3 linked regions of the Lytechinus pictus genome follow. The protein of the gene in region 1 interacts with the protein of each later gene in a pairwise test. Links are inferred from orthologs where the notes say so. Each region holds a gene or a part of one and is shown on either strand. Other genes may lie near its edges. The genes, in order: small nuclear ribonucleoprotein F-like, small nuclear ribonucleoprotein E-like and small nuclear ribonucleoprotein Sm D2.

The links.
Region 2: the proteins of small nuclear ribonucleoprotein F-like (region 1) and small nuclear ribonucleoprotein E-like interact in binary tests that used the Drosophila melanogaster proteins (3 or more experiments, as listed by UniProt). The link is inferred for Lytechinus pictus from reciprocal best matches to the Drosophila melanogaster genes SmF and SmE.
Region 3: the proteins of small nuclear ribonucleoprotein F-like (region 1) and small nuclear ribonucleoprotein Sm D2 interact in binary tests that used the Drosophila melanogaster proteins (3 or more experiments, as listed by UniProt). The link is inferred for Lytechinus pictus from reciprocal best matches to the Drosophila melanogaster genes SmF and SmD2.

Annotation. Positions count from the first base shown.
Region 1 is NC_087247.1:76,327,697-76,335,158, forward strand, and holds the start of small nuclear ribonucleoprotein F-like, read left to right. Parts: upstream 1-4,453; 5' UTR 4,454-4,493; coding exon 4,494-4,616; intron 4,617-7,462. UniProt on the Drosophila melanogaster protein: Plays a role in pre-mRNA splicing as a core component of the spliceosomal U1, U2, U4 and U5 small nuclear ribonucleoproteins (snRNPs), the building blocks of the spliceosome.
Region 2 is NC_087263.1:5,423,984-5,431,524, reverse strand, and holds the start of small nuclear ribonucleoprotein E-like, read right to left. Parts: upstream 3,014-7,541; 5' UTR 2,899-3,013; coding exon 2,851-2,898; intron 220-2,850; coding exon 193-219; intron 1-192. UniProt on the Drosophila melanogaster protein: Plays a role in pre-mRNA splicing as a core component of the spliceosomal U1, U2, U4 and U5 small nuclear ribonucleoproteins (snRNPs), the building blocks of the spliceosome.
Region 3 is NC_087251.1:24,557,019-24,564,182, reverse strand, and holds the start of small nuclear ribonucleoprotein Sm D2, read left to right. Parts: upstream 1-4,121; 5' UTR 4,122-4,280; intron 4,281-7,164.

The sequences.
Region 1 (7,462 bases):
ACATGACACATCCGTTTTTGTCTTGCCTGCATAGCAGAGCGAGACTATAGGCGCCGCTTTTCCGACGGCGGCGGCGGCGTCAACATCAAATCTTAACCTAATGTTAAGTTTTTGAAATGACATCATAACTTAGAAAGTATATGGACCTAGTTCATGAAACTTAGACATAAGGTTAATCAAGTATTACTGAACATCCTGCTTGAGTTTCAGGTCACATGACTAAGGTCAAAGGTCATTTAGGGTCAATGAACCTAGACCATGTTGGGAGAATTATTTTCAAAATCTTAACCGAAGGTTAAGTTTTTGAAATGACATCATAACATAGAAAGTATATGGACCTAGTTCATGAAACTTGGGCATAAGGTTAATCAAGTATTAGTGAACATCCTGCTTGAGTTTCAGGTCACATGACCAAGGTCAAAGGTCATTTAGGGTCAATGAACTTTGGTCAAGTTGGGTTTTTTTGTTGAATTCAGGCATGAAAATTCTCCGCGTTTCCGCGGATTTCCGCGTTTTTTGTTTGCTGAATTTCCATTTTTTTACTCCTAAAATCCGCGTTTTAATTTCCGATTTTTAGCGCTTAAATGGTTTAGCATATCTTACGTGTTATATGACGTTTGGCCTTTACAACGATTGCGCAGGAATCTCTTATCTAGCACATCTCAACTCTACACGTGTATTTCGCGGTGTGTTTTACGTTTCTGTGCATGCAGTGCAGCGGTGGTGTGCTTGCAATCGCTGGGGGCAACCCGGCGCGCCGGGCATGCAGCGACCGGGCGCGCATATCATATCGGACCGGTGGAAGACCGATAAAGAAGCTGAATGTGCTCGCAGAGATTTGTGACGTGACATGGAATTTTCATGACGCATTTATAATTCGCGAATATTAATTTGCTGGAAATCCAAGAATTTTGTTTTTTCTTGTTGTTGTAATAACGAATCAAGAAAAATGGCATTTTGTGGGGGACTAACTTGTGACCGCACAGATGTTGTGGATAGACTTTCAAAAGATGTTCATGAAATTGACCGTGGACTTGCTAATATGTGGCGATGGAGTTGGTTAGAGGTGGAGGTGAGAGGACCCGACAATTCTTCATACAACCTGCTTGAAGTGATCAGGAAACTTGATAAACCAGGGAAGTGCTATTGCTATTTTTTAGTATTTTTTAGTTTTTTTTTATTGAATTTTGGACAAAAAATCCATATAAATACTTCATTACAATCATTCAACTCAAACAGGTTTTTGGAGTTGTAAAATTGATAAAACCCAGGAGCTTCCGGGGGCGTTGCCCCCTGGACCCCACCCGTTAGCAGCGAGCGGCAAGCCGCTCGCCCGGTGGGCTTCGCCCACCGTCTTGTCAACGACATTTCCTAAACCCTTTCAGCTTTTTTTTTCATACCCAATTTTCATGCCTGTGAATTACTATCATAACTTTGAAAATTTATGGATCTAGTTCATGAAACTGGGACATAAGGTTAATCAAGTATTAGTGAACATCCTGCCTGAGTTTCAGGTCACATGGCCAAGGTCATTTAGGGTCAATGAACTTTGGCCAAGTTGGGGGTATTTGTTGAATTACCTTCATAACTTTGAAAATTTATGGATCTAGTTCATGAAACTTGGACATTAGGTTAATCAAGTACCACTGAATATCCTGTGCAAGTTTCAGGTCACATGACCATGGTCAATGGTCATTTAAGGTCAATGAACTTTAGCCGTGTTGGGAGTCTTTGTTAAATTACCATCCTAACTCTGAAGGTTTATGGATCTAGTTCATAAAACTTGGACATAAGAGTAATCGAGTATCACTGAACATCTTGTACGAGTTTCAGGTCACATGACCATGGTCAAAGGTCATTTAAGGTCAATGAACTTTTGCCGTGTTGGGGGTATTTGTTGAATTACCATCCTAACTCTGAAGTTTATGGATCTATTTCATAAAACTTGGGATATAAGAGTAATTAAGTATCACTAAACATCCCCTGTGAGTTTCAGGTCACAAAACCAAGGTCAAAGGTCAGTTAAGGTCAATAACACCATATTCTGTGCCTTAGTGACACTCTTGTTGCTCCTGATATTGTAAAATTTATAGTAATATATTTAGCATATATTTCTAGCTTCAAAATGAGATCTTGCTCAATAAATTTGGTCAAGATGCTGTGATGTACATGTAGCAACAATTCTTCCATGGCACCATTTTGAAAATTGTTCATCCACCACCCTTTTTGCATACCCAACTTATGAAATGCGACCATAAGTGCTGTTGTTGGGAACAAAAATCCATGTCGACATGTCGCTTGAAAATTAATCCTGACATCGACAATGTCGACATGAAAAAGGGACCGTAATTTAGCCTAGGCTCCCTAACATAACATGAAAAAAATCATTCGATCGTGGAACATAACATTTACACTCTCAATCAAATGTATTAACCTTGACACGAGTGATATCCCATGCGCACACTAACTCAAGATCGATAAAATACAGGCTCAGTTCGGGAAAACATATTTTCACTAAGCTAGAGTGAATTCACTTCCAAAATCACTGATGTAATCCACATTTTTTCTGAAGAATCAAGTTTTTGTACCACGATCCGGTCTCGAAAGCATTGCGCAACACTCGGTGCCAATTTGAGAATCACCAATTACAACAGTGATCATTGCATAATATACGCTAGTACACATGTGCTGCAAATGCAAGCACCTCAAATTGACAATAAAAAATAATGAAAATTGACCGATAATTTCAGTATCACTTCCGCGGCGATCCGTGCAACGATCTCCAAACAAAGAAAGGGAAGTTTTCTTTGACTTCGTGATATGAAGTAAGCTCTCAATTACGGCGGTCACAACTTTGACAAAAACGCTGCTGCTCACGTTTATGTGAAAAGTAATGGATTGAGGAGCAACGTATTATCAAGCACGGTGAATAGCGATGGGTACGGTGAATGCTACGCTACTCTCGCTATAGCGCTACATATAGATCTAGAGAGATAGTCAGGATCGAGGGCGGCTTGATCGGGCAGGCCGGCCCCGCACTGACTTATTTCTGCTGCTACGCAGCTCGCAGGTATTCTTTTTTCATTTAATGCGCTGCTAAGCTGAATAAACCTTTTAATCGCGCCAATTACTGTGGATAAATGCTTCTAACTTTTCAGCTAAGCTTTACACTCGTGACTTAAGGCTAGACCTCTTTTTATTTTATGTTTACATGTCGATGTGGGTGCGTGCATGTCGACATGTCAGAATTTTGAAATTCCTTTGTATGGCGACATCAATGTCGATATGAGGCCTATCGACAACAGCACTAGCGACCATATAATTCATTATATTTTATGATGGCTAACTTAGGAATTTTTTAATTCCAAAATAGTTTATCTTCTCATTTTGCATTGCTGTATGTAGTGTACAAAGAATATAAACACAGGGAACTATCCACAAGCTGAATTAAGGTTATGAAATGTTTTCACAGAGGTAGAGTGGTCCGAATTTGGTCTTGGAGGCTTTTGGAGTTTAACATGCAAACTTGTTTGTTCGGCATCTGCAATAATTGGGCCATATCGTGAATGCTGACTCCGGAGTCATAAAGTATGTGGTACCTGAATTTCACTACACACTGAGACCCGTTGATTTTCAATAGATTTAGTAGCCTAAGAGATTTTTCGATTTCTGCGCCGAAACCTCTATATTGTTTTATGCAAAACACTTAACTAGTTCTCGCGCTGTTACAAGACTCGCACATGGGACAATTTAAACGTTGACATGACGTTGACAATAAATTCTCACGTCATCACCCCCCCCCAAATCATAATTTGCTATTCAATAATTTAGCCGTAATTGGTAAATGATGAAATGTCATTTTCTGAATAAAAGTTAGTGGATAGGCCTACATGTATACAGTTTCTGGAAGTGAAATTTCCAATAATAACTCTCAATAGTTTGAATATTAATAAGCAAATTCATCTTGAAATTTGTTTCTTCATTAATGTGCAGATAGCTTAGTGTGTCGGTATGTACATGTATGATAAATTCTAAAGAAAGAGTCGGGGAATACCCCTAAGTAACCCCCAAATTGACAAGAATTCAATGACAAACTGCACATTCATCACGATCGTCTAGGCGGCCATGGCATCAGGAGTAAGTTTAACACTGTAGGTGACTGATGTAATTCCTTGATGATGTGACAGTCAACGTAGAAATGCACTGTAGATTTATCTCTGCATGGTCATGGAAATGGTACCGGTATTCTATGCTAATGGTGATATTAGGATTGTGAGGAAAGTTTTTGACTTTATGACTCGGGCTTTGAGAGTATTTTCTTGTGATTACCATACTTTATGGTGAATAAATGTGCTAACTGGCTATGATCATATGATAGGTGGGCAAATATTGGGTTTGGTCTAAAGTACATGTAGGCGTGTTACACTCCAAGCAATGGCAAATATTCTTGAGCTTTAAATTTGAATTTTTTTACTACTATATGTATACAGGGAATGCCACTGAATCCCAAGCCATTTTTAAATGGACTCACTGGAAAGCCTGTGATGGTTCGTCTCAAATGGGGAATGGAGTACAAGGGCTACTTAGTATCTGTTGATGGTTACATGAATGTTCAGGTAAGTTAAATATTAATGTTAACTTTAAAATAGACAGTCATAGCCATAGACATATCTATTGATCAATTATTAACATGAAGCCAGGCTAGACTCATTCAACTTGACATGAGACAGGAAAAAATATTATTACATACAGTACTTATTTAATGTCTTGTTTATGCTTCTTAAAGCCCAAAGTTCTTCCCCAATTTTATACAATTATTTATCATTTTAATGCATTTGAATAACTTTTTTAGAAAAAAATTTGAGCAGATATGTATACTCAAACAATGTACACAAAAAGTTCTGTATTTCAATTTGCCAATTATTTAGTCAAGAAGAATAGTAAAAAAAATTAATATATTTCATGTCAAATCCAATGCAATCTCCTTGTAAAGTGTAATATTCTGCTTGTATTCTATTCTCCTCTGCGTTTTTTCTCGTCATTCTCAATGAACGACTCTCATGAAAATAGTGCTGCTAAGTCAGGCAGCATGTTCGAGTTTGGTTCTGCAATTTTTTTCAGAACTTTGGTTCGAAACTATAAAATAATGGATCGCCATTTGCGAACCCTCAGCCAGTTTGTCACAACGAAGGTCTGTCATATATTTATAATGAATTTTGTTTCTATAAAGAATGGTTATGAAAATTGTTGCTTATAGTTATAGACTACTGTAAAAGTGGAAAATTTTGCGGTGTGGAAATTTTTACACTTGATACATGACAAACTTCACAATAAAATACTGAAGAGCATGACAATTTTTATTTTTTATTTTTTTTTTTTACTTTAGTTCAATTTTTCTTCCAACTGTAAATATATTCATAAACATGATAATACGACTATCATTATTGCTAAGAAACATGGCATTCTTTTATTGGGAGGGGGGAGGGGGGGTTATGCTTCCAACATAAAATGATTTACTTCACAAAAATTGAAAAAAAAAACAAGCGTAGCAACATTATTGTTTCAATTTCATATGGTCTACGGTATGTAAACTTGGATAAACAAAATAAAGACAGGCATGTGAGTGGGGTAGAAAAAAGAAAAGAAAATATTTTGTTGCAACAATCGAGGGAGCAGAGCGATCGTGCGGCGGATGGGTGTGAGAGGGGGGTGTCTCCTCTCCCACAGTCTGGCCTGACGCTTTTTTAATTTTGTATGTCAAATGGTGCAATTTGAAGCATACTTTTGATGACAATTTCTAGGTATTTTTGGAGTTGGCAAACTGTACCAAAAAAAAAAAATTGATACAGTTCTACTGACTGTAGTTATTCCTAGGCCTGGTTGACATACATGTATGTCTAGATATATAAAGTCTGAAAGTCAATATAAAAAAATTGACAAAAGTAATTCAGTAACCAACTCCTGATCAGTCCTCTTCCAAAATTAGTTCCAAATTTGTTTGATATTATGAACAGTCTCACAGTTTAATTAATTAAAAAAGCGATCTTCGTCCATATAGCGGGCCTCAGCAAACAACTCTGCGGCTAGTGTCCTGTACAATTCCAGCTCTAGATCTAGTCATGTTTGCTTCTTTCCGTGACAAAGTCATTGATTAGCGAATCACTCTACTTTAAAAAATAAGTTCAAATTTGGTGTGCCACTATGAACAAATCAGTACTTCATGACTGTAAAAATTATTCGTATCCTGAGCTGAGAAAGTAAAATTTTAATCCGATATAAATCTGAAATGATGAGATCATTCATACATATAGGCGAGCACTTGACAAGAGAAATTGAAGCAGCAGGACTTCGGCAAAATGAGCGGGCCGTCAGCAAACGCTAGCAGGCTGGGGTGCTGATACTACTACGGAAATAGAAAATATTGACAATGGAAAAATATTTCAAATTTAGGATATGAATTTAACCAATATAAAAGCAGCTGAGAATAGGTTGATTCGACTTCCTGTTTCAACTTAACGCGATTGGGAACATGCTTTGAATTTTGTTATCTCTTCTGTTCTTTAAAATTCTATTTCTACCCTTATTCCTTCATCTCTTATTGTCTCGCCTGCATAGCAGAGTGAGACTAGGTGCCGCTTTTCCAACAGGGACGGCGGTGTCGTCAACATTGAAATCTTAACCAAGGTTAAGTTTTTGAAATGTCATAACTTATGAAAATATATGGAACAAACTTTGATAATGTTGGGGGTATGTTAGGAATTGTCATCATAACTTTAAAAAGTTAATAGATCTAGTTCATGGAAACTTGGAACATGAGAGTAACCATGTATCCCTGAATATCTTGTGTGTGTTTCAGGTCACATCAGAGTGCAGGATAGTGCGAGTTCTAGAAATTGGAATTATCAAAATTACATGTATCTAGAATTTAGAAGAAATATAGCATTCGGGGCTGTACAACTGTCACGGCTTTGAGGCCAGTGAAAAGCACAAGAAAGCCTATTTTTTTAAAGCCTGGTAACAGTTTGTGTTATTTCAATACTAACAGTGACTTTAAGCTGATAATTGCAAATCTTGTTCCTTTCTGGTTCTTTTTTAAGCTCCAAATAATACATAAAGTCACATATTTATCTTTTGACCTTGACATTGATCTAAAAATAGCTGTAAATGCCATAAAAATTGGCAAAACCTGTGAGATTTACAACACATTTCCAAATTGATGTTTTCACAGAATGAATGCCTGATCATGTTGATAATTTGCAGTATCGGTAGTCCATAATGAGTACTTGGATGATTTAGTATTAATTAATTTGTCTTACTTTTTTCAAGGTCATTGCCAATAAGACAAACTATTTGTGATGCATAGGAGGAGGGAATTTATGTCTTTATTAAATACAAAACGATTTGGACCGATTAAAATCACAATCGATTATGGCAATCCGTAATTCAACCACTTTTGTACAAG
Region 2 (7,541 bases), on another chromosome or scaffold:
TAAAACCTTCTTTCTCTCCCCTTCCTCCCTCTATTATTCTTGTTTATCCCTAATTTCAACCACTTGAGAAAAAAATCAAAGAGGGGGATGTAAAAGTGCTCCAGGAAATGGTAGTGTCCGGTTTTGCCACCGTTGTGAATTCAATATTTCTATAATATCTGGGATAAAAAAAAGAAACTGGACTGTACTTACATTCTGAAGATATCTGAAAATCAAATTCTGTGGGAATGCAAAAGTTAGAAAATAGTCTGTCAAGGAAAATTATTTGACAAATTAATTTCAATGGCAAGCAAGATGAAACGATTCAAGATCTGAACACTGAAAACAATATATTTTTTGCTACATCTATAGCGAGTCTAGATGTTTCAACCCTTAGGCTAGGGGCGCAAGTAACAAGAAGTGAAATCCATTCAATACAATTGTTTTACATCCCACAATATTGATCTGCTATCTGCATATAAAAATTTACAAATTGAAATACAAACAATTTTTCAATTAGCAGTGGGTCATTGTAATTCATGAAAACCAGATCCCAGCAGTGTTGTGCCAATCAATGAAAATTAAATGGAAGATTTAGATCCAATCAATTTCACTATTCATATAAAATTGCACTAAGTTTTGAACCTTATTAAATAAGAAAAATCAAACTATGGATATATGACATGATTCCTTACATTATTTGCTTGAATTTATCAATATCTAACATCCCATTTAGTGTAGGCCACGATACAGACATCTGATATCTGTATTTTTTTTCTCACTTTTTTGTTTCTCCTCTTACTTTACTTCTTTGGTTTCTCCTCTCTCTCCTTCTCTTTCCCCCCTAAACGACATCACATAGTCCAGCAGAACTGACCAATCACCAAACAGAGACTGAAGCTATCAGGAGTTCAGGGGCCGATTGCACGAAAGGGTCTTTCCAAGGACCGTCTTTCCTGTCGCCCAATTTTTATGATGCGCCATGTGAAACGCATTTCAAATAAATTATCTGCAAACATATTTTACTCATCCGTTAAAATAAACAAAATGTTAGTTTATGAAATGATGTGATATCTCATGAAATTGTATAAAATTTTATTTAAAAGCAAGCTTACGAATTGTATTGTTTATCATAAATTTCAGAAACACTCCGCTTATAGCGCATCATAAAAGATGGGCGACACGAAAGACGGTCCTTGGAAAGACCCTTTCGTGCAATCGGCCCCAGGACCATTCATTTGAAATTTTGTTGCTCACCGGAGAGATATGAGATTGGGACATGTACATTGGCATCAGTCTCCAGACTAGTTTAACATTTTATTTTCGCTCTCCCAACTCCAAACATATGCCTCCCTCCATATTTTTCCAATTTTGAGACTCCACAGTGGCAAATTGTGTAGAACGGATAGCGATGCGTTCAACGCTAGCGGGCGTGTACATTTTGCTTATTACATGACGTCATCTAGCCACTGCCGATAGCCAATTTATGAATGAAAATATAGTAAGCATGCGCAGTGCAAGCCTTCCATTGCCCCACACAGTATTCCACCAAAACAAGTGTGCAATTCTCTATCACCTCGTACAAAAATCGACCTAGAATTTCCCTTTCCTATATTTTATATGAATTATGAAAGGTATTCTCGGAGGATCTATTTTTCTCACCGATACCGCACAGGTAAGCGAATTTCGATTACTTCTTGCTTTTCCGTCAAAATCTTACGAATTAGCGTCGCAGGGGTGTGAGTGGTCACAAATAAAAAGATCTGAAAAAAGCTGAAGTGTTGAAAAAGTCTGAAATAGAAAGAGCTCCCATACTTTTTGTACAGAGGAAGGCCAAAAATAAGCTGAAATTAAGCTGGAAATCAAAACAAAAATATCTGAAATCAGATTAAAATCTGAACTCTCACACCCCTGGCGTCGATATGGCATTGTGTTCGTTGGAGTTTGTAGAGTCTATCGCAACGTGCACAAAGTCAATTGATTTCCGGGTTTCGGAGCGTCGCGTGAATTTGCATGAAATTGCCGTGTCTCGATAATTTTCAATCGATACTGGAGCGATCCGATCGCAAACCAAGACCAATTCCCGCGTAAACAATGTGACCGGATATCGTTATCGCTATCGATACTTTCGCACGCAGTCCGAGGGAATTATTTTGGCGACCACGTAGTCATGACGTGATCTGCGCGATTGACCAATCAGCGGTCTCCGATTCGCTGAGCCGAGACGGTCTATCCGTTGTAAAGTCTATGGACGATTTACCACTGTGGACTCACAGTTACATGCTACATTTTTTGTAACAAAAAAATGAATTGTAAAATTAAATAAATGTATTCCATAAATAATTGAATGAATTGACTTATCAACGTCTCTTGACAAGCACAAGGATGGAAGGCCGACACAAAGAAAGAGAAAGGGAATTTAATGAGGAATTATCAGACATCGATCATGTCGACAGAAACAAATTTTTTTAACAATGTAACTTAGTGGAACTTACAAAGTCGAAGCAAACCAGTCACGTCACTCACCAAAATGTCCTTTCCCCATTTTTAATCTCAACCCCCATTAATAAATTTGTTGGCCAGGCCAAGTTACTAAAATACTGATCAATGTTGGGGGGCTGTGTAAAAAGGAAAGGAAAATCTGTTTTGTATATTTTAGTCTTATTATCAAGTTAGTCCGACCTCTGACTCTGAGACTGAGTCCGACTTTTGTTTTCCGCTACACAGCGCACAGCAGATGCAACCACAATTTAACTTCAGTCCCACACGTTAGTGTAAGTGTGAGCAGTTTCATATTCAACAGAAAACAAACACACATTAAGATACATTATAACGAGAAAAGGAGCATGTATTAGTTCTTTAAAAGGATACAATCGGTTGGACCATCACTTTCTGGACCTTCTGCCCTTTATACGCCATTTTCACAGCTTAGATCTGATCGATGAAATAAGAACAAACAATGCAGAATCGTTCCCGCTTCGTGGAGATCGCGTTCACATGTGTTTTGTCAAAAGCTATTACTAAACTGTCCCTCGCTAGAGCGCTAGAGGGCGACATATATGTTTTTCAGTCCTGACTGAAAAAGATAAAATGAGTTCAACTGAGATTTTCTTATATCCCTCATCCTTTCCTTCTCTACCCCATATCCTTCTCCTCCATCTTCTTCTTAATCCAATTTTGCTCCTCCTTCTTCTTCTTATATTGGCAAAAGTTTTAGGAAAATCCATCAAAGAATAAATAAGTCATTAGAATTCAAATTATTTGATTTGTGACATCATATGCGAGCAGCTTTCCTACATATTGTATGGTAAAAAATCAATGAAATTTCATTTTCTCTGAAAATTGAAAATGGTTTTTATGACAAATTATATATCTTCAGTATGTATTTAATAAACACATGATTTCCCACCCACTCCTAAAAAAGAAAAGAAAAAGTCATTACGAACCATTAAAATGTGAAATTTAAAGGAGAATGAAACCCTTGAAACCAGCTGAATCCATATAAAAGAGAAAAATCAAAGAAACATATTGTTGAAAGTTTGAGGAAGATTGAATGAATAATAAGAAAGTTATGAGCATTTGAATATTGAGATCATTAATGCCATGTAGATCCTCCCATTGGCAATGCGACCAAGATCTGTGATGTCACACACGTACAACTCCCTCATTACTTTAGTACTTACTTATATTCTCACTTTTATAGAGTCTATCACAAGGTGAGGTGTTCTCTTTATGAGAGGACAAGTACAGAGGTTTCACAACATTATATCATTGATGAATCGTTTGTCATATGATTAGAATGAGCAAAAAGAGATGTTTTGGGGTATATTTTCAGTGTCCAAAACTGGACAACTCTCCCCTTTTGGACACTGAAAATGTACCCCAAAACATCTCTTTTTGCTCATTCTAATCATATGACAAACGATTCATCAATGATATAATGTTGTGAAACCTCTGTACTTGTCCTCTCATAAAGAGAACACCTCACCTTGTGATAGACTCTATAAAAGTGAGAATATAAGTGAAATAAGTACTAAAGTAATGAGGGAGTTGTACGTGTGTGACATCACAGATCTTGGTTGCATTGCCAATGGGAGGATCTACATGACATTAGTGATCTCAATTTTCAAATGCTCATAACTTTCTTATTATTCATTCAATCTTCCTCAAACTTTCAACAATATGTTTCTTTGATTTTTCTCTTTGATATGGATTCAGCTGGTTTCAAGGGTTTCATTCTCCTTTAAGCATTTATATTACATAACATATGGGCTGCTGCTCGTTTATGACGTCAAAAATCAAAAACTTGAAATTCTAATAACTTCTTCACCAATATCTTTTTATTATTTTTCCTTCTATTTTTACAACAAACTTTTCGTCAGGGTGAACTTCCCCTTTGCTTTAATGAGTCTGAAATGTAACAATATATGTCTGATTCAGAAGACTGCGAACAATTGCTGCGAAGCACTGTGCATAGTTTTCCACATCAGGGCCCCGTCTTACAAAGAGTTACGATTGATCGAATCAATCTCAACTATATGGAAATCCACTGTCATAATTTTTTCTTCAGGAATTTTGCTCAATGTCTTTTGAAAACAAAGCTAGAGAAGCATACCGAATTGTCAAGAAAAACAGTGGACGTATGAATTTATGTCATTTCTAGAAAATATTTTAAACAAACTTGTGTTTTAGATGGTGACATTGCTGGCTTTCCATAGTTGCAATTGATTGGATCAATCGCATGTCTTGTAAAATGGGCCCCAGATGTATATCACTTACGTTTATTGTAACAGCAAACATATAACTGCAGCCTTTGCCTCGATCATTATTCACCTCTTCTTTTTCCCTTTACCACACTTATTTAAATTAACTCATTTTTATTTGGCCAGTCAGATTTTTTTTTTTTACCACTTTTTTTTTAATTGATCACTTTTTTCCAGTTTTTTTTTTCTTGTCAATTATTTTGCAACAATGAAGACATGTCTTTTCAGCAAAATCTACTCCCCCGCAATTAAACAGTCACTCTACCCGCTCACTTACTCAAGAAAGAAAACAGAAAGAGGAAAACACATGAAATATGATTAATATTTGTGGCAGATCACCTTCACAAATCTTTATTATCTGTGACCATAATTAGAGGGTTGCATAAAAAAAAAATTAGTTTCATCATGAAATTTACAAAGTAGTGTAATACTCTTCTAATATATGCCTATGTACATGTAAATCATATATCAATTATATGAATATTCATAATAAACAAATGGCTTTACAATAATACATATCTTAAGTTTACTGCTATTTAAAAAAAGAATATTTACATGCAACAGGAAAATAAAAGAAACAAAATCTGTCCAAACAATGCAAAATATACACTAAGATCTTCAAAAGCTGATTAAAGGCACAAGTGACTAATATATTTCATCTGATTTTTGGCATGTTAAACACACACAAGTTACTTTAGGGATATACTTCATATATCAGATACACTTCATACACCACGCGATGAGATGCCCTAGTCCTATTGAATGAGCTATTGCTGTAGTGTGGTAGATTGCCTTGACTTTATCATCCACCATCATTATTCTGAAGAAATCAATATTTGAGCAAATTAATTCGTTTTCAAGATTTGTAACTTACTTTCACATTCACAAGTTGTAATCAACTGTAATGATCCTGGGTTTTGATTTCAATGAAATACACAGAAGTGGAAACTGTTAGGAGTTAGATATCAAGAACATCAAAATTATTAAACTAGAATATTAAACTACAGTGCAAATTTAAAGTAATACATTAAATATAGATGCCCTTTTCCATCCTTGAAGATATAACTCAGTAAAAAATTTAAAAAATCAGGGATATGTGACAAAAAATCTGTGAATCATTTCATATCACACACATTACAGTTTCAAGAAAAGAAAATAGAAATAATTTGTGAAAAAAAAAATACTATTGAAATTGTATCATTTGAAATATATTGTGAAGATATCTCATTAAAAAAAATCATACATGCAAGAACTTCACCTCAGTGAAGCAAATGATTAATCATTAAATGAATGTCAGCAAAATATATACAGGAAACCAGATCACCTGAATACTTGTTTCCACACACTTATCTCATTTTGAATACATTTCACAATATAAATGATTTTTGCATCGTGATTCATGTTATCAATGAATACAGCAATGCAACTGGATATACTGAGTGATTTTACAACAAAATAATGCAGTAATCTGTTTTTCTAAAATGCATTGCTGCACTGATGCTGTGGTGGGATTTTTGTGTTGTGACTCCAAAGCATTGAATTATATAATTTGCATTTTACACTATTCATCGATATGATAAATTTGATAAAAATACACATGTAAACATTGCATATGCTCATCTAAACACATGGATACAAATTCATAAAATGTATTGTGCAAATCTAACACACTTGTTATTATCATTATCATCATCATCATCATCATCATGACCATTATTATCATGACCATCATCATCATTATTACTGTTATCACCACCATCATACTACTATTATGTTACCAATGTTAGTAATATTATTAGATTCATAAATGTTGCTATATATCTCCCTTTCTTACGTTTCAAAATTTGGTTTCATTTTCTTATCAATTCCTCATTTTCATCTACCACCATGCAAAATTTGCAAATACTGCAGATTTGCGACAAAATAATTTTAAAACTCTTTCATGAACGGCTTGCCATAGATGGTTGCAATGTCAGGCAATCTTGTTGCACATGAAACACCCCATAGACATGATAAAAACATAAATAACAAAACCTTACAAATGCCGTAACTTTCATGCAACATATCACAAAAATAAGAAGTCATGCTGCTCCTCACTTGTATACAAACACTCAAATATCACTCAGAATGAAAACAAACATTGTCCAATTCTATAATTCATCTCTTTTGTACAATGAAGAGCATAACACAAATATTGCACCTTTCGAAAGATTTGTATCAATATCTCATATAACTTTTCTCTGGCAATGAACATATAAACTAACAGGTATCAAGAAAACAAAATTAAAATACAACTTTCACCTAAATGTGGCACCTCCATCCAATAACACAGGACGTTTTTGAAAAAAAAAGGAAGTTATACATTTGAAGTATTTTTATTCAAACAATATATTTATATATCATTTTGTATTATTGTAAAAAAAAAATATCCACAAAGTCATCCTCCATGTTTTCTTGCGTAATTTAGAGGCCACATGCAGGATTTATTTTTGCAAAGAGAAAAAAGGGTATTAAATTATTTAAAAACATAAGAAGAAGAGGGATTGAAGTAGCCACACTGATCACTGGGTTGCTTCTTGACTTTTTTTGCTTACACGGAAGGATCAAAATGGTTACCCTTTGAAAAGTTATCAGATCTGACAGCTTTCCTCGTTTCTGATTGGATGAGAAACACAGGAGTCTGACTGTTGCTATGGAAATTATTGCACGACAGCTTGTCAGTGTTGACAACCTTCATGAAACGGTCCCTGTGAGCATGATTTGAGTGGATTTAGTAAAATGTGCATAGAGAAACTGATA
Region 3 (7,164 bases), on another chromosome or scaffold:
GGCTTTTGACATGTGAATTGTGATTGATAAAGTCTTTGATTTTAGTGGAAAGAAGGAAGCACTTTAAACGTATTCTTTTCAAATCGATCATATCTTCAACGACTGCTGGGATCATCAGCATGCTTCCAGAATAACGAAATGTAAACAACTTCAATTAGCGCGCGCAAATTATTCAGAGCCTAGATCGAGAGTGCCCTTTGGTGTCAGCAATCGGATACCGCTCGAAACCGTACCGATAGGGGAGGGAATGAACGCTGTGATGTAAACAGACCACATTTCGGACTCGGTCCGTTCGCGAAGCTAATCCACCAATAATCCAGTCAAGGTTGCAAGTGGACTCGGTCGGGTCTCGGGTAGGAAACTTTCAGATGTAACAGGGGCCATATGTGTAAGTAAGGCCAGTAAAAGACCTCAAGCCAAGAGGGATTAAAATAATGAGGCAGGCAACATCAAACAGGATCTGGAACAAAACAGAGATAATGGGATGAAAAACAAGAGAAATAGTGAGAGGTGGGTCAAACAGGTTACAAAGAAAGGCTTAATAAACTGGTGCATAAGAGTGGGGGGGGGGGAAGAAAAAGAATGGGGAACAACTGATAATGTGCAAAAGACATATAAGTATATATGATAAAGCATTAAACAAACTAAGAGAAGAAGGTAAGTGTAAATATGTATCTATAAGTGATATGTATATAAATATATCCAAAAAAGAAATGTATATGAAAAAATATATAAATACACATATGGTGTAACTGATATTGTAATCCGCTAGGTGTGACGGGAAAAAAACATAAGACTATAAGTCTATATAGTAGGGGAAAAAAAAAAAAAAAAACACCCTGTATATGTGAAAAAGAGGAAGCAAATTGCCTAAAAAAAGTAAAAGCAAATATAGAAGAGAGGGGGTGTATTATGAAGAAACCATAGTATACATGTAAATAAGCAAATGTGGTAAATCTAAAAGAGGTGAGTGGAGAAAAAACAAATATATATATATATATATATATATATATAATAATTATTATATCGCCTGAATAAGGAAGGAAAAATTGGAGCTAAGCTTGTATGAGATATGGGAGGAAAGTAGAGTAAGAAACTATAATGTAACTATTCAAAAGAGCTGAGGGGAAAAACTATATGTATATAAAAATTGAAAGTGGATAGGAAAGAAAAATCAGTCGTTCCCCTCTTGGATGTTCAGGCCATGAGGTTGGGTGGTGCGAAGTCGTCTCATCCAGAGCTTCTCCCTGCTAGTACGGACTGAGTCAGGACGGGTACCTAAAGATTCGATGCCCTGTAGCATCATGTCAGTGATGGAGTGGTTGGGGAGGTTAAAATGGCGGCCAACTGGAGTGTCCAGCTTTGCTGTGTTGACGGTGGATCTGTGCCCGTAGAATCGTTTCTTGAGTGTGGTCTTGGTTTCCCCTATGTATTGTACCCTACAAACTCTGCAAGTGATGAGATATACAACATTAGTGGTAGTGCATGTGATGTTGCCCTTGATTTGGTGAGACAGGCTGGTAGAGTTGCTGGTGAAAGTATCGCCCTCGTGAAGGTGTATTTCACATATGATGCACCTGTTGCTGGTGCATTTGAAGGTGCCATGTTGTATGGGAGAAGAATGGTTAGTGAGGGAGGGCACTTCAGCACGAACAATGAGGTCCCTGAGATTCGGTGGGCGTCGGTATGCTAGAAGGGGAGTATCGGGAACGGCCTGTTGGAGACGATCAGAAGTGTGTAAAATCAAGGAGCTTCCAACTCCTTGGTAAAATGTGGTGGTTATCAAACAGGATTTTGCGGAGAGGGGGTAGATTGGGATGGAAGGTGGTCACAAGCGGTATTCTGTCGGTGGTCTCCTTGTCACTTTTTGGTTTGAGAACTTCAGATCTGGGGAGAGAACGAACTTTGTTAATTGCCAGTTGGACTAGCTGCCCTGGCCCGTGGCCCCTGGCACAGAGATGTTTCTGCAAATTCCTGGCATGGAAGGAAAAATCAGGGTCCTCGGAGCAGATACGGCGAAGTCTGAGGGCTTGACTGTAAGCGATGCCGGTTTTGCAGTGACGGGGGTGGCAGCTGGATGAGTGGAGGTACTGGTGGGTATCTGTGGGTTTAGAGTATAGGGTAGTGGTGATACCATTATACTTTTTCTGGACTGTAACATCAAGGAAGTGGGTTTCCTGTTGGGAGAAATCAGAAGTGAATTTGATGGTCCTGTGGAAGGAATTGATGTGGTCAATGAATGTATGGAGGCTGTCTTCACTCTGGTCCAGATGAAGAAAATGTCGTCTATGTAACGCCACCAAATCCATGGGCGACAGGGGGCTGAATCTAACATCTGCTGTTCCAGCTTCGTCATGAAGAGACAGGCGAATGAAGGAGCCATCCGGATGCCCATTGCTGTACCGAATATCTGTAGGTATAGTGCTTGCCCATGAATGTGAAGCTGTTTTTTGTTAGTACATGAGACATCAGAGATTTGATATCGGATATGGGGGGACTGGAATGGCCACTGGCGGCCAAGGCTAGCTTCACATGATGCTTGGATACCTTCGTCGTGGGGAATTAATGCTGGTGTACAGTGAAGAAACATCGAAAGTGCCGATGATCGCAGTCTCGGGTCCTTGATGTCATTTAGTTTCCTGAGAAAGTCTGGAGTGTCGTGGATGTAAGAGGGTGCACGTGAGACAATTAAGGGGCTTAATGTGGTAATCAACAAAAAGGGAGATGTTCTCTGTTGAGGAACCATTTCCTGAGAGGATGGGTCGACCGGGGTTGGCAGGTTTGTGGATCTTCGGGAGGAGATAGAAGCGGGCAGGTTTAGCATTAGTAGGGGAGAGAAATTTGTGGGCCTTCTCAGAGAGATGCTCGTGTTCTTTCATGTCATTCAGTGTCGATTTGATCTGTAGGGAGAAATTACAAGTAGGGTCAGAATCGAGGAGTGCATAGTGAGATCGATTATTGAGATGTTTCATGGCTTCATCGATGTACTGCTGGCGGTCCATAACAACGACGGCTGATCCTTTGTCTGCAGGCTTGATGATGATGTCGGACCTGTTTTTGAGTGATGAGAGAGCCTGATGAGAGAACCTATATATCTACGGAGGATTATCTATTGTTACTGGGGGTGCTGTGACAATGCTCAGCACCCCCAGTGACAATAGAATAATCCTCCGTGGATAGGTCCATGAATGAATTAAAGGACAAGTCCACCCCAACCATTAGTTGATTTGAATAAATAGAGAAAAATCCAACCAGCATAACACTGAAAAGTTCATCAAAATCGGATGTAAAATAAGAAAGTTATGACAGTTTTAAGTTTTGCTTAATTTCACAAAACAGTTATATGTACATCCTGGTCGGTATGCAAATGAGGAGACTGATGACGTCATCCACTCACTATTTCTTTTGTATTTCATTATATGAAATATGAAATATTCTAATTTTCTCCTCATTGTCAAGTTAAACAAAGATTAATTCCTCCCTGAACACGTGGAATTAGCATTGTTTTAATACTATATGGTTCAGTCAAGTTGGTCCTTAATGTCAAACCTGTAAAAAATGAAATATTGTATAATTCAAACAATAAAAAACAAAAGAAAAAGTGAGTGATGGACCTCATCGACTGTCTCATTTGCATGTCACTGAGATGTGCATATAATTGTTTTGTGAAAAATAAGCGAAACTTTAAAATGTCATAACTTTCTTATTTGACATCCGATTCTGATGAAATTTTTAGCGTTTTGCTCGTTGGATTTTTCTCTATTTATTCAAATCATCATTTTTTTGGGATGGACTTGACCTTTAACTATTCTGTGAAAAAAATAAAAATAATAAAAATAATTACTATCTGATATCCGATTTGTATCAATTCGATCACGATTGTTTGGCTTTATCTACGATGTGGGAATTATAGATCTACATGTATTTTTGTATATTGAATCATACCAATCTCCAAAATAGAAATTTCAACATAGTCTACAAGCACAGACTAAAATTTGACAACTTATACCATGACTAGATTGAAGACTCCAATTGTTTTGTCTGTGTCAAATCAGATTTGGTAGAATAGGCCACCGCTAATTGAGTGAATCTAGTCTCACTACTTCAGACTCTGCATATGCGCTGTGTGAAAACCGAAGGTCTGTGCCTGCAGACTAATCTCGACGCGGCACATAATATTTTGCTGCTTCCTTCAATTCTGCATGCACTCAGACACTTTGCGGAGACACACTTTGAGCAGCAGTGCAGTCAGCGCAGCGCTCTGCCGTGCTGCATGCTAGGCAGTCACTGAACTAAAAATACGTGGAAGTCGTGTTCACCCAAGCAAAACAGCGCCGGCGAAATCGATAAGTCACGTGACCGCCGCCATTTTGCTAGGTCAATTGTTCGAGAGCGCGCCGTAGAAGGCAATTGAAAATATGTGCAAGATGCAATATGTTTTCTCTATAAATATAAAATTAATAGTGTGGCAAAGTGTATTTTAATGTCATTAAGCCAATCATGTACAAACATATTTCTATATGCACAATGTACTGGGACCTGGTAATTCATGTAGTTAAAAAAAAGGGTCTAATTCAGGGTGACCAGATTTCACAAAATGAAATACGGGACAATCGCCTCATCAAAGAAGGCTACACGATGTTATACTTGTGAAAAAAATAAAAAGAATTGGAAGGGAGGGATAACGAAAGAATGAAGGAGAGAAAAAAAAGACGAAAGAAAAGAAATGAGAAAGAAGAAAGAACAAATGAAGGGGAAAATAAAAGCGGAAAGTTAGAATAATCAAAAGGACGATGAAAGAAAGAATAAAAGAGAAAAAAAAAGGTTTCCGTCATTCTTTGAATTCACCCAATATAGAAAGAAATAAAAAGAAAGAAAGGGAAGATGTGTGAAAGACAAAATAAGAAAAAGGAGGAGGAAACAAAGAATAAAGGAAAGAAAAATGTTTTTTTTTTCTTTGAAAGAAGAAAACGGGAAGGGAAAATGAAGGAAGGGGGAGGGAAAGAAAGAAAGAATAAGGGGAAAGAAGAAGAAGGAAAAAATAGAGAATGAAAGAAAGAATGAAAGAGAGGGAGGAAAGATTGAAGGGAGGAGAAAATAAAAAAAATAATGGAAGGAGAGAAAAAACGAAAAGAAAAAGGTGAGGAAGGGAGTAAATAAAAGTATAAGGAAAGAAAGAATGACGGAAATAAAAATGGCAGATACGGAGGAAGAAGGAAAGAAAGAAAATTAAAACACAGAAAGGATCAGGAAAGAAAGGTATGAAATATTAAAAGATGTAGATGGAACAAAAAAAAAACAAGGATAGAAGGATGAAGGATAAAAAGGAAAGAGGAAAAAGTTCAAACTTCAAGCAAACAAAAGCAATCCAGTCATCTAACAGAAATGATAATGATATTTGGTGTTTTTTTTTAATTTTGGAAAACTAAGTGGTTTAGAAATGAATAAAATTTCAAAGTGAAACATTGTCAACTTACAAATGAGAGGAAACAGCGCCGGCATCCTATATACACAACAAGACTCAAAAAGCTAAAACAACTGCATGTAGATCCCGTTATGAAAACTAAAAAAAACTTGTTCCTCCGATCCTATTTAATCAGTAATCTGAGAATTACGATCATAAAAATTTTCCGCCGATTTTGTGATTATTTTGGTGGAAAAACTGTTTATCATGTGAGATTGTTTGCATCATTATGCTCCGATCCTACATGCATAGAGCCTGTTTCACACACATGCAGGCAATAATACTAACCTCGTACTAGTGTGAGTGACAGGCAGGAAGCCAGCTCGTTTGCAATGTATTTGGTTAGGATAAAAATCACCCACAGAACTTGCAAAAGTTTTAGTTATCGATTTATTGTTGTCTCTGCTTCGTCATTCTGTTTGGTTATGTGATGAAAATTCGTCACTTTTTAATTTATCAACTATATTTTGTTCAATATTCTAAAAATACGGGACAGATATGTCCCGGGAAGGGTTTGTCGGGACGCCGGGACAAATTAAGGAGCAAAATACGGGACGATCCCGGGAAATACGGGACGTCTGGTCATTTGACAAGAGGTAGTGGTCTTTTTGTACAATTTTTGACTTGTGGAATATTTCATACTCACCAGGATATGCATATAACTGGTATGTGAAAATAAGCGAAATTTAGTGCAACAACTTTTTAAATGGAATTACCATTGCTATGACTTTCTGATTTGTGCTCTAATAGTAAACTTGTTAGAGTTGACTTGGTTTTGTTTATCCATCACCCATTCCTTTATGTAAAAGTGTATTGATGTAAGCACATGTCGTGCAACATCCATGCTCTTCCAAATTAAATTTCATAAGAATTCAAATTCTATTGTGCCCATTTTTACATACACGGTACTTTATAGTAGATATTTCCTTGCTGAGCACACGAAGGTCCAACTTTGAAGGCTCATTAAAAGTAACAACCTTCTTGCCCTTAAACTTCTATTCAATTTTTCACCCTGAATGTGTGATTGAAGAGTATGAGAGGGAGGGAAGGGAATATTTACTCAAAATTCATATAGAGAAAGTTGAAGGAAAAATTGTAAAGATGGAGAGAGAGAAAAAGAAACAGACGATCAACGAGAAGAGATGGAAAGAAGAGGAAGATCAAAGAGAAGGAGAGAGAGAGAGGGAGAGAGAGGGGAAATCGAGGAATGAGAAAGAGGTGAGGAGAGAAAGGCGAGACGAGAGGGAGATAAAAGAGGGCTCGATATAAGGGAGATGGGGAAATAAAAGAAAGATATAATTATGGGGAAAGAGAGAGAGGGAATGTAAGAGAGAGAGATGAGAAAGACGAGGAGATGAGAGAGAAAGAAGCCAAAGAGAAAGGAAAATAATAAAGAGGGAGATCGAGATGATATAAAGGAGAGAAATAAGAGAGAGAGGGGCATGAAAGTAGAAATGGAAGAAATAGAAGGGGATGGAGAGGATAAGAGAGATGGACAGAAGAGGAAAATCAGAGAAAATGAGATGAGATGAATAGTTGAATGAGAAGGGAGGTTTAAAAAAAAAGCTAGAGAAAGGGACATGATCTCTAATCGTTAAAAGATTTTTTTTTATGCAACCAGCTAGGCCTACTCAGAAAGCATATTTGTTGTGGGGCCTTTCCTTGTCACAGCGTGCGCGTGAAAAAGGTCGAGTTTTTTA